Cricetulus griseus: one gene and its partner. The protein of the gene in region 2 purifies or fractionates together with the protein of the main gene of each other region. This does not show direct contact. Links are inferred from orthologs where the notes say so. Each region holds a gene or a part of one and is shown on either strand. Other genes may lie near its edges.

Region 1 (6,448 bases), on a different chromosome or scaffold from region 2:
CACCGTGGGCCATTAAGGAAGGCATGGCTAGCAGAAGTACAAGCTTCGAGGAGAACCCAGCCAGGTGTACTCTGTCCACCCACGAGCCTTTCCCAGCCACATGCTGTTTGGATGTGTACAGGCTTTAAACTTAGTAAACTGTGATGGGATTTCACAGAGAGCAGCCATCCTGTCTGTTACTGGAACTTCTCTTTGTTATCTGGACTAGACTTTCACTATAATATGAAGTTAATATAAAGAGACTGGCTATGTGAGTTTCATGCTTTGAAGTATTTTTTTAAATTATTTAACTTTTTGAGATGGCCTTTCCTTGTAGCCATCCCCTGGCTATCCTGGAAAATGTTGTGTAATGTGCCTCTGCTTCCTGAGTTTTGGGACTAATTTGTCAAAGGAGACCTACCTAGAAACTGGACTTTCATTTTATAGTTCTTTTCTTAAGTGCTTGTTTAGATGAGTTATTCCTAAATTATGAGTATTTTTTAAAACAATGGATATAAAATAATTTTATATAAAAAGTTCAAGTGTTATAATTTGGCTTTTTATTTCTTTTGGAGACAGTCTCACACAGTACAGGTTAGCAAAAGATAACCTTGAACTCTGATCTCCCTGCCTGCATCTCCTGCATGTTAGCAGTACTGGTGTGCACCATTGTCCACAGTTTTCTCAGTGCTGGCTTGGAGCCCAGGACTTCATGCATAACTAGGCAAGCACTGAGCCACATCTCCAGCCCAAGTCTGTTATCATTTTGCCTTTTTTTTTAATTATAGCTTGCATTTTATTCGCTAATTTTTTTAAGCTACAAAACAATGAAGGTGCTTGACAGTTTGTCTCTAAAATTTCAAATATACCACAGAAATAAGACCTGCCATATAAATCTTGATTTCTGTTTGTCTCATGAGGCAGTTTAGGTCCATTGTTTCTCAAGGCTTTTCAGTTTTTACATTTGATGCATTTTCTTCAGGAAAGCTGTGTTACTGTTAGAAATACTAGAGCCATTCGCTATGGTGGGATGCCTTGCTCCATCCTGATACAGGGGTGAGGGGCTTGGCCCTACCTCTACTTGGTAATCCAGACTTTGTTGACTCCCCAAGGAAGGCCTTACCCCCTCTGACAAGTGGGGGTTGGGAAGGAAGGAGGTGGGGAGAGGGGAAGGAGGGGGAACTGAGGTTGGTATGTAAAATGAAAAATAACTTTTTAAATTAAAAAAAGAGAAAAAGTACAAAAGAAAAACTGGAGCCAACTAACCTAGTAGATGCCAGAAAGTTACTAGCACTGCATTGATCATTGGTTTAAACTCATATTTTACTTTAGCTGTCCATTTACAATTTCAAGTGATGGCGTGTGATTATGAAAGATTATAAAGTTTTTTTTTCCCATTTGTAATTTAATGTGAAATTACTAAGAAAGTAAATTCTCAGGTCTTTTCTTTTGCTTTTAGGATTTTCTCATTCCGCGTTTACCTTTGGTATAGAGAGCCATATAAGTCAGTCCAATATAAATGGCGCCCTTGTCCCACCTGCTGCATTGATCTCCATCATCCAGAAAGGCCTACAGTATGTAGAGGCAGAAGTTAGCATAAATGAGGTAAGGCAGACGAGTTTCATTTCAGACACTGATTCTGATTCTTAAATGCATTTGTTTATTCAGTATCTGACTCGATTTCACTGTATTCAGACAAAATAAGGTCATCATTCTTAATGTACCAGTCAGGTTGTACTAGCTATGCATGTGGGCTTCGCTCCAGTGGCCTGAGTCTAGATTATTCCTTAAGGGAGGGGGTGGAGGGGGTGGGGAAGCTGTGTGTGTGTGTGTGTGTGTGTGTGTGTGTGTGTGTGTGTGTGTGTGTGTGTTTGTGCTTTAAGTAAGCACAAGGAAATAATTTTTAACAAATAATGAATTTTGCTTTATTGTACGGCAACAACTTGATGGCAAGCATTGGGAAATCCATTGTTTAGTGTCATGTACCCTGATTATTGAATCCAGGTATTTATAATGGATGCCCACTCTTGATGCTCAGAGCTGCATGTGTGAGGTTCATGTGTAAGTAGGGGGTTTGTTTCAGGTGTTGGCATGCTTCTGGGGCCTGATTCTGTAGATCAGCTTTGTAACTCAGGCAGACTCATTCACATTTGGACTGTCTGGGTGGATACTGGGAACATGAGGTGCTGTGACACGGATCTTAAATGCACACACTGCCTGCTCTTTCCTAGAAGTCTGCAGAACTTTGCTCTAGCTAGAAAGTTTAATGTATTTCCAGGACTCAGAACACGTTGAGGTGTTCCCTTTATTCTTTACTTGAAAAGTGAACACACTCCTCCCCTGCCCTTCCCCCCAAAAACATAAGTGGAAGGATTTTAGCTGTTTAAAGTGTCCATTCTCCTGTTGGTATCCTCAAGGATGGGTCCCTCATTGCCACAGTGAGCACCATCTACAGTGCTCTTGATTTACACCAAATGGTACACATCTAGATCACATATATGATGTGCTTGTTACCCTGTTATGTTTAAGGAAAATCTACAAGAAAAAGATCTGCCCCAGTTCAGTACAGGTGCATTTATTTTTTTTCCAAGGCCTGGATTCAGAGTACTGATGAGACACTGCCTCTTTGTTGTATGAGCTACTCTTATTGGTTGATGTTTTTTACTGACAGCCTTCATTACCTGAATTTGACATATTTCCATTTTATTATCTGTTTAAGAGCTTTTATGAGTGGCCTCTTGTATTGCATTTGTCTTTGTAGAGTTTAGCAGGATGTAAGTGAAGAGTAGAGGGCCATTTGCATCTGCCTCATTCAGGGTCATTCTTATTCTCTTCTCTCCTTCCTGCTCAAATTCAGAAAATTACCAGGTTTTCCTCAAAGTGAAGCTCTTCATTCTGTTAGTGGAATGCATGTCACCCTCAAGGCTACATCTCATTTTTCTTTCCGGGTTTTCCAATCTCAGGATGGCACCTTATTTGATGGTCGGCCCATTGAGTCTCTGTCGCTGATCGATGCTGTTATGCCCGATGTAGTCCAAACAAGACAACAAGCCTACAGAGACAAGCTTGCACAGCAACATGCAGCCGCCGCTGCAGCTGCCGCCGCAGCCACTAACCAGCAAGGATCTGCAAAAAATGGAGAGAATACAGCAAATGGGGAGGAGAATGGAGCACATACCATCACAAGTGAGCTAAGAATGTTTAGAGAGTCTCAGAAAACACTTGGCCTTACATAGACTGTCCCATCCTTAGAACTGAAATGATACCTCTATGCCCAACTTAGGTCACACAGCTCAGAGTTTATACTTAAGGTTCCAAAAAGCTAAATTCACTGTATATTCCTTTTTAGGTGTTTTTGAACCCTTTTTCTCTTAGAATTCCGAATCTGCCTTTGATTTTTAAGTAAAAGTTGGAATGTTCTCTCTTAAACATAAGTAAGGCTATGACATTGAGGAATAAAGATGACTCTCATGTTATATGAACGATATCAGCAACCCCTACTGGCAGAAACTCAGAATAATATTGTTATAGATGGTTTAATTCAGCCACATTATCATTCCAGCCATGCTGAGGTTCACTCCCTTTTCACTCCTCTTTCTCCCTTGCCTCCTTCCATATCCACATCTGTGTATATAGACCCTCACATGCTTAGGACTAGTACTAGAATTGTGATTACCTCTTACAGAGATTGTTGCTTCTCATGATGCAGATAATCACACTGACTTGATGGAAGTAGATGGGGATGTTGAAATCCCTCCCAACAAAGCAGTTGTGCTACGGGGCCATGAATCTGAGGTTTTCATCTGTGCCTGGAACCCTGTTAGTGATCTCCTGGCATCAGGGTAGGTTTTTCAAAGGATGTTGGGTATTTTGTTTGGTTTTAGACAGGATTTACTGTTTAGGGGAGGCTAGTTTTGAACTGTTGACCCTCCTGAGTCCTGAGATTAATAGGCCTGCTGCAACATACCCAGATCTACAGTGCCAATTAAGGCTACCTTACTGAATGGACTGTTGCATATTTTGTATGTATTTCACTTTCCAGGTGCTTGTTGCCTGCTTCTGGTCATGTTACCTTAGTAAATTGATATTTCCTGTGAAGTAACTTTAGAATTTCTTGGTAGGAGCTCTAAAATGTAGAATAAGAAAAATATTGGGAATGTTTATGCCTGGTAGTCTGCTTCTTACTCAGATGCTAAATGTATGGCCTGAGTTTTGGAATGCTGGAGAATGTCATGAGGACTTAAACCTATTTTTGAACTTTGAAGGTCTGGAGACTCCACAGCAAGAATATGGAATCTTAGTGAAAACAGCACGAATGGTCCCACACAGCTGGTGCTTAGGCATTGCATACGGGAAGGAGGACAGGACGTTCCCAGCAACAAGGATGTCACTTCTCTAGATTGGAATGTGAGTGTCCCTTGCTTTAGTGGTTTGTGAATGAAGGCATTTGAGGATTTGGCTGTACAGTCAACCTGGCTCCAAATTCCTAAGTCCTGATCAGAATTTTACTTTTTACTTCTTATAAAACCATTTTCGTGGTGGTGTTTTGATGTCCTTTTAGTCTGCAACCTACCTCCATCCTCATTCATGGGTGTCTATGAAAATATTCTGCAGAGGGTTATTGTCAGTCCTACTCCACAGCGGTTATGACCAGTGCTCAGATTTGGGGTGGGCCTTTCAAGAGCATTGACTTCATCAGGGAAAGGGGTTTTGCCGGCCTTTGGTGGCACTCACACAGAGATGAGATTCCTTTGTGCCTGGACATATTCATAGTAATTAAGTAGCCTTAATTGTGTAATGAACAAAATTTATTTCTCTGGCAGAGTGAAGGTACACTTCTAGCAACTGGGTCATATGATGGATTTGCCAGAATATGGACTAAAGATGGTATGTATTTTTCTAACTTTATTGATGTTCTATGTTATAAAGTTTGAAGTAATTTTAAAGTTTTTTTTTGTTGTTGTTGTTGTTTAGGTAATCTTGCCAGCACCTTAGGGCAGCATAAAGGCCCTATATTTGCATTAAAATGGAATAAGAAAGGAAATTTCATCCTAAGTGCTGGAGTAGATAAGGTAAATGATTATTTACCTAACCTGTATAACACTATATTTGAAAGTAATTTTTTTCTTTTCTGATAATCATTTAAACTTCAGTGCATTCAAGTATGGATTTTTGACAGTAATAGAAATAATTTCTTGTTGTCCGCTTGTTTTCCTTAATCTACTCATCATATCTTTTGTTTATAAGCATTCTTCATTTTTGCTGGAATTTGAACCTAATGAATGTTATCATTCAGCACTTTGTGCTTTGCCAGTTTATCTCAGTGGTGGCTGTAACTCTGGAGTGACTCCGTGGGCCATCCATGTCTTCCTGTGCTCTGTGAAGTAAATAGAGACTGGTTGGAACTGGCTCCTCCTCCTCTAGGCCCCCTCTACCACACTTCCCTAAATAATAAAAGGTTTAAGACTTTTTTTGTTCCAGCAAAGAACAGGCTATTAATCATTTGGGTGGTGTTGGGAAGGGGACATAAACTGGCTTAGATTCATAGTTCTGATGAGTAGTTTTCACAGACTGATGAAGGTATCTGGGGAGGAGAAGAGCCAGTACTGTCTTTCTCATAAGCAGCTTCAGGACCTGCCTTAAATGGTATCAAAAATGGAAACATCTATTTTTCTTTCTTTTTTGTCCATGTAAGCTTCAGGAAAGGAGAAATGTTTCAGTATTCCGGGATAGGTGATTTCACTACAACCTTCTAACTTCAGAGCTGTAAAAATGCATATTGAACACACCATTGCAGTGGAACCTGTTACACAGTCTAATATAATGCCAGGCACTTTGTTGACAAACAATAGTTGTTACTAGAAATAAGTTGGTGAAAAATTGCCACAAAAAAGTTAAACTACGTCATGGTCATTTCCCCTGACCTACCTGAGTGTGAATGATGCCCTTGTGCTGTGAGGAATAAAAACATTGAAGATGAAGTTCACTGTCGAGTTTCATTCTGCCTTAATGCAGTCAGGCATCCATTCTTGCATTCACATACTCTTTAACGTCAGAGAAATTAATTTTTCTTTTCCTTTTAATCTCAGACTACCATTATTTGGGATGCACACACTGGTGAAGCCAAGCAGCAGTTTCCTTTCCATTCAGGTAAATCTTGACAATACACATGGAAGCTGAAGCTCTCTTCTGTTTCTCTAATTAGAGTGTTGGCCTCATGGAATTCGTTCAGGACCTTGACTGTCAGACAGCATTCTTGGTACCAGTCCTCTCAGGAGGTGTTCCACAGCTTTCAGATAGTTCTTTTTGGAGGATCAGCAGGTTTTCTGTGAAATGTACTGTTAAGGAAACACCCTAGTGGTATGGTTGGGGTGGTGCTGTAGAATTGGACGGTCTGGCCATGACTGTACATTCTCCACTTGATAAGCTCTCGGTTCACTTAACCTTTTAAGCCTTCTTTTCACTATAT
Region 2 (7,188 bases):
GATAAGTGTCTCTTGATTCGTTTTGCTCACAGCAAGACCCTTTGAATACATTTCCATCTTCCTGCTCTGGAAAATGCTCAGTCACCCTTGATTATTTTTATTCAACTCACTCTGGCTTCTTGAGAGATTGTATACTGCTGCTGGACTCTCTCCACAGATCCACCCCTCCTGCCTCAGACGCATCTGCTGTTTATTCTGCACTCCCAGGCGGGGTGGCCTCTCTGGTACATTCTGCACGTGACTGCTGACATCTTCCACAGTATCGGCTTTCTTCATTGTGGTCAGGATGCCATTTAAGTAAACTTTAAACAATGCTCTCCACTACTTCCCTTGCAAACCTTCATTTGGCCTAATTCTCTTTCTGACCACCCCACCCCTTACCCCATGCACCCTCATTTCTTGAGACATGTCTAGCCAATCTTCCAAAAAACTTTCTTCCAAGACAGGAATCATGTTCTGAGGTGTGCTCTTAAATAGTCTGGACACCTTGTTGACAGGCCCCAGATGGGGACTGTGGTTTTTCCTCAAAGAATAGCATCTCAAGACCAGAGCACCACCCAAGCCTACCTTGCCAGGGTTACAGCTCCCACCCAAGGCTTCCAGCAAGCTCTCTAAGCTCCACTGATGGAGAGAAGCCCCTTGTAAGAGAACCCAAGAGTTTTTGTTGTGACACAATATGTTTGTTCTGGGAGAACTCAAACTTGGCAAAAGTGAACACTAGAAATAACAGGGCTTAAAAGAAGAATGAGGTTCATAACTAATACACTACAAAAATGTATAATGAAAACATTACCACAGTTCAAAAAAGACAGTAAATAGTCCTAACAAAAAAGTCTAATAAATGCAGAAATTTAAGATTTAAAAACAGTAACAACAATTTAAACAGGAGGATAAAGAGACAATGCTTTTGAGTTTGGGAATCAAGGACAACTGAGCCCACTCTCACCTGTATCTGCGACCTTCTCAAATTGTCCAGACACTCCACTAAGGGACAGAGCTTGTCAGACATATTAATAAAAAACAGTAATTTTTTTGTACCAAGTAGAAAGAACCACCATGAGGTAGGACTGGAAATGGCCTAGAGACAGAAGGTCACTCATTTTATATAACATCAGTGTTCCCTAAGCAACAGAGGCCCAGCAATGTGCAACCTACACGAACACATTTTCAATACAGACACATGCCACATGACATTCAAGTCAACAACAGACTGCATATAGCAAACACAGGGTGGTCACATTAGAAAGGATCATCATGTGACAATGTGGTCACCTTAGCCTGTGTAATATTCACACAATGGCAATGATGACAAAGCTACACAATACATTCCTTCATAGAGCTGAACTTGGCTATGAAGTCACAAATAAACTAAAGATAGGAAAAGATCTATCACACAAACCGTGCAGGTTAAGCACCACTGCCCAACTGACTCTACTTAGAAAACCCCCAAGAGATGAAAACCCCTCTGTGTGTCTGTGAGGGCCTTTCTAGAAGCACTAAGAGCCACCGTGATATAGGAAGCACCATCCCACAGACTGAGGGACCCAGAAAATGAAAGAGGGAACTGGAAGAGCTAGTCTAACACCAGCAGCCAATCTTTCTGCTTCCTAGCCCACCATGACCTGACCTGTTCTGCTCGGCCACACCCTCCCTACCCTCTTGAAATCATAAACCAACATAAATCTCCCCTCCCTTGTAGCTGTCAAGTATTTGGTCACAACAATGACAAAAGTAACTAACAAACATTAACCAAGAGCAATCTGTGAAGGAGACATTAGCATCAGACAAAATAAACTTTAGGCTCAAGTTATCACATAGGATGCAGAGGCCCAGTTCCTAATGGCAGAAGGATCAGTAAGCTGAGGAGTAAATGAAAACCACACTTTACACTAGAAACAAAACTAAGAAAAGCATGAAGGAAATGGGCACATCGACCATTACAGCTAGGATCTCAATGCTTATTCTTAGGAACTGTCACAAAAGCAGGCAGAAAACTAGCAGAATACTAGAAAACACACACACACTCACCACACACACACTCACTCACTCACACACACACACATACACACTCACACACACACACACACACACACACACACACACACACACACACAGCCCTCAAGGTGACTCAGTGACATTTACACAACACTCACTATACAAAAGCAGTGGAAGCACCTTCTTAACACACAGAGCAAGCACTGAAACAGAACACCTTTAGGCCCATTAAAACAAGTACCATTAAGTTTAAAAGGACTCAAGTCACATAAAATAAACTTATCTTACTAAACTGGAATTAATTTAAAAATCAGTAACAACAGAAAAGTATCTTTAACCCAAAGTATTTGCAAACTAAATAATACATTTCAGTTCGCCACACACCTGTGATCCCAGCATTTGGAAAGTAGAGGCAAGAGAATCAGCAGTTCAAGGCCATCCTCAACTACACAGAGTCTGAGACCAGCCTGGGCTACACGGAACCCTGTCTCAAAATAAACAACAACAACAAAAAAGGAAAATAAATGAACAACAACAAAACACTTCACAAATGAAGAATTGGAAGGCACTTTGCAATGAATGAAAACAGCAACACAAGATATCAAAATATGAAATGTCCAGCACTGAATCCCCATGTTAGAAAAGACACTCTTGATTCAGTGATGGCAGTCTTTACTTCAAGAAATTAGACAAGAGCAAACCAAACTCCAAAGAAACAACAAAGAGACAACAGCAAAGAGTAGAAATCAATTGCATGAAAAAAAAATGGAAAGAAAGAAGAAGGCCAAGCAAAGTGGGGGACACCTGTAACCCAGTCATTCAGGAGGCTGAGGAAGGAAGACAGCAAACTCAAGACTGTACTATACAGTGAGCAGTGTACAGTACAGGAACAAAGAGAGAAAGAAAGGGGTAAATCAATGTGATTGCAAAGCTTTAGGCAGTCGATGATGAAATGCTATCAAGAAGAGGGGATGAACTACAGACTAAACAGTAAAAGGACAAAAGATAGCATCATAGACAACTTTATGCCAAGGACTTACATAAAATCAACAAGAGCCTTGAAAGACCTAAATGTCAATTATTTGGAAGGACAGACACATAACAGGGGGTATCTTCTGGATCTCAGATACATCAAGAGGGCCCATCTGCAACTGTTGCCATGGGGGGGGGGGGGTGTTTGCCTGATGGTGGCACTTGGCTTCCTTCTCTTATACATGTTAGTTCAAATTCAACGCTGAGGGGTCCTTATCTTTGCATTTGGTCACTTGCATTAATGAAGACAGATGAAAATTTCTTCTTTGCAGTATGCTAATAATCCAATGTTATCAACTTTCTCTGGCTTATTCACTTGACTCTGTCTACTGGAGCTCCATTAAATCAGCTGCTCATGCTTTCCTGATGTTTTCCATCTTTTCTGTTAAGCATTTGTTTACATCAACTCAGTACTGACGCCTTAGGTCCCAAGCTAACTAACCACTGCAAGATTTCTGCTAGTCACCCTTTCCTCACTTTTAACACCTTTCTCTAACAGTGAGAAACCTGGCTTCTACAATATACAATATATTGGTTATGTTCTTATACACTCATAAGTAGTTTCAAAAGCCCTACACATGACAAACAAGCTCATGAGGAGACAGCACTGGGCACTCAACACTGCTTCTGTCCTCGGTCTTCCAAGGCTCACCCAACCTTACCCAGGCACTCTTCCAGAGCTGCCCATGCATCACTTCAGGACGTGGGCTGTGCTTCTGCAGAAAGAGGCTTTGATGCCAGGGTGTATGTTCCATTTGGGGTTTCTCCATTCTGATGGGTCTAAACTGTTTATCATCTCCATATGTGATGACTAAGAAATAAAAACATGGGCTGATCTTAGTGGTGTTCACCTTTAATCCCAGCACATAGGAGGCAGAGGGAGATAGATCTCTGCGAGTTAGAGGCCAGTCTGGTCCGCATAGCCAGTTCCAGGCCAGCCTGAGCTACATAGTGAGACCCTGTAAACAAACAAGCAAGCAAATAAATAAATAAAATACAAGTTTAGTAGAAAAAATATCTATAAAGGTAATTTTAAATTTAAGTTTCTTGTGGTTTCTGCATAGGTCTCTCTTGCTGAAGGGAAGGTTTCACGTTATGGAACCTGATGCAAACACAACGCAAAGCAAATAGTACAACAAACCCAAGACACCAACTTCAATCATTATGAACACTCTGCCATTCTTGCTTCATCCACATCTCCTTCTCCACACACTGAATGCACAAAAACTAACTGTAAATTTTTGCAGGTAGGTGCAGCTACAATCTATTATGAGTTTGTTGGCTTGGGTTTTTATTGTTGTTTGTTAATGCACTGCCAAAAGCATGATGAAAATCAGCTTCAGTGCCATCTACTCAGAGCTCTGCTACCAGAAAAAAGGTTTTCAGAAGATGTCACCTTCCATGTGAGAGAGGCAGAGCCTATGGGGTCCTGGTCAGAGAAGAATTTAGTAGGGTCTGGAACAGGCTGCTATGATAGCACAAGATGGCTGAGTGCTATCTCTAGAGCTGGAAATCCTGCCTTCCATTAAATCACACACCAGCCTCTGGAGTTCCTTCTTGGCCAAAAGACAGTCCCTAGTGCTACCGCAGACTATTTCAGAGCCAGGCTGGGCCAGGGCCCATGATCCTAAGAGAAAGACAAAAAAAAAAAAAAAAAAAAAAAAAAAAAAAAAAAAAAAAAAAATCTGGATACAGAAGTAGAAGACTAAAGATGACTAGAAATGAGCAGACCGATGAACCAAGCCATTCATCACAGGTATGGGAAAACAGACCAAGGTAGGTCAGAAGACAGTTAGCATATAGGCCCGCTGGCCCAGGGTGCTCCAGGCACCACACAAATGAAAAGATCTGTCTGTAAGAGCCAGAGAGAAGGTAAGTAACTTTGATTTATGGGTACCTTGGCCATCCTGTTAACTGCAGTCTGAGACTGGGTACAAACTTCTACAAAGACATCTCTTGCTGCATTTCTCCTCGGGCTCTATACAGAATAAGTAGCATGATGGCTTCGTGTGCTAGTTTACCTGGGTTCCTCACACCTGCAACTTGGAAATTCTGAAATCCTAGTTGGCTTGACTTCATATGATGTAAAAGCCCTTCCAATGAGCAAGTCTTAGAAGCTATAAATCTTTAAGAGGATTTCTTTTAAAAATCTTTATGACGCTCCAAAAAGAGGTGTGAGCAGAGAGGGCATGTTCTGTCCCTTACCACACTCTGTGGCTGGTGGAGTAGCAGCAGTCAGTTAGTGACACCATCAAGCAAGAAATGACAAGACTGCAGAGTAACAAACGCAGATCATCTACACAACACAGCAGGTGTCACACTCACCTCTGCCAAACAACGCCATCTCCTGAGACCCTCACCAGAGCAATATGACACGAAAAAGAACTGGAAGGGTGATATCATCATCTATACACAGTATACATATGCACAGAAAACCCAGAACAATCAACCAAGAACTATTAAAATGTCTACATTAACATAAGGTTGTAAAGTAAGATGGGCAATATACTTAAGTGTTTCTATACACCAGGGACAAAAAGAAAATAACTCTGAGAAAACATTTATGATACCATCAGATTATCAGCAAATATCAAGGGCTAAATACATCAAAAAATGTAAAGCTTTATTGGAAATTGTCAGTATATAATAAGCAAAATTCAAAGATTTAAATAAAACAATATTCTATGTATATGGATTTAAAGACCTAACAATGGCGCAGACACTGACATTCCCAATTAATTGGTAGTCTATGCAATCACAATAAAAATTAAAATTAAGTTGGGTGGTGGTAGCAACCTGGCATACAAAGCAAGTTCCAAGACTGTTACACAGAGAAACCCTGTCTCAAAAAAGAAAAATTAAAATTGTGATTTTTGTAAATTGACATGTCAATATTGTATTTTACGAAGAAACACGAAGGACCTGGAAGACTTACATTCTCAATTATATTATATTGATTTATTAAAAACAAGAAAAGAACATAATATTCTAGAATGAAACCAATACACGCAAGGTCATCTGTTAATAGTTAAGAGCCCACCCTAAATCCCAAGGTTTCAGTCTTTCTGAATATAATGCTTGGGTCATGCATGACCTCCTAGCAACCCATCATGAAAACAGGAGATGGGTTACAGACCCAGTCCAAAAGACCACAAAAACCAGTATTTTCATATAGTTAGAGAAATCTCCTTGGACCATAAAGCGAAAAAGGAAAAAGAAAAATTTCAATTTATCCAGACTCAGAAAATAGAGAAGACAGCCAAACAGCAGGAAAAGCAGCCTGCCACAGAACACTCAACAAGAGACTGACACCCAAAAACGCACAAGTGATCCATACAAATACGAAGAGTTTACAACCCCCAGTTTATGGGGGGAGGGGGAGAATGGGTGAATGGTAAGAGCAAGTGTCTCACAAAGAGTTTATGAGCAGTCAATCGACACACAAACAGGTGTCCACATCTGTGACAACAGGAAGATGAAAACTAAAGCTACAACAGGGTGAGACTAACTCATCAAAATATCTAAAATTTCTATGCAAAGAAGCACCAAGTATTAGTGAGGACAAGGTAAAAACCAGAGCTCTCACACTCAACCTTGAGAATGACGAACCCAAGCACCCAGGAAACAAATAACTGAGTGGTAGGAAATAACACAACACACACAAACCCTGTGTCCCACTAAAGCCATTCCAGGACAGACCCAACCTGTTCTCTAGCCCTGCCCATGAAGACAGACAAGTGGAATGGGGATGTGGCTCAGTTGACAGACTGCTAGCCTATCGTGAACACAGCCACGGACTTGATCTCCAACACTATATAAACTGGTGTGATGGTACAATCCTACAATCCCCGCACTGGAAAGGTACAAGCAAGACGACCAGAAGTTCAAAGTCATCCCTCAGCTACATCGTGACTTTGAGGCTACATGAGACTAAAAAAAAAATTGCAATTAAAAAACAAGGACATAGCAGCATTATCCGTGATAACCCACAACTGGAAACCTTCCAGATGTTGGTCATATTGTAGAATGCTCTACTGCAAGAATAAAAATGTACCTTCACACAGCCACAGACAGATCAACTTTACAATGCTAAGCAGAAGCAGGCGGATACACATGGTTCGTACTTGGCAAGGCCATGAATATAAAACGTGTAAACGGGTA

What was found.
Region 1: the proteins of Hdac4 (region 2) and Tbl1xr1 purify together in Homo sapiens (affinity purification with mass spectrometry; 3 studies listed by BioGRID and IntAct, with this or other methods). This does not show direct contact. The link is inferred for Cricetulus griseus from reciprocal best matches to the Homo sapiens genes HDAC4 and TBL1XR1.

The regions. Positions count from the first base shown.
Region 1 is NW_023276806.1:126,265,099-126,271,546, reverse strand, and holds part of Tbl1xr1 (F-box-like/WD repeat-containing protein TBL1XR1), read left to right. Parts: intron 1-1,438; coding exon 1,439-1,584; intron 1,585-2,942; coding exon 2,943-3,165; intron 3,166-3,664; coding exon 3,665-3,821; intron 3,822-4,244; coding exon 4,245-4,386; intron 4,387-4,802; coding exon 4,803-4,866; intron 4,867-4,953; coding exon 4,954-5,051; intron 5,052-6,068; coding exon 6,069-6,129; intron 6,130-6,448. UniProt on the Homo sapiens protein: F-box-like protein involved in the recruitment of the ubiquitin/19S proteasome complex to nuclear receptor-regulated transcription units. Plays an essential role in transcription activation mediated by nuclear receptors.
Region 2 is NC_048595.1:443,656,464-443,663,651, forward strand, and holds the start of Hdac4 (histone deacetylase 4), read right to left. Parts: upstream 3,731-7,188; 5' UTR 3,716-3,730; coding exon 3,690-3,715; intron 356-3,689; exon of another isoform or gene 111-355; intron 1-110. UniProt on the Homo sapiens protein: Responsible for the deacetylation of lysine residues on the N-terminal part of the core histones (H2A, H2B, H3 and H4).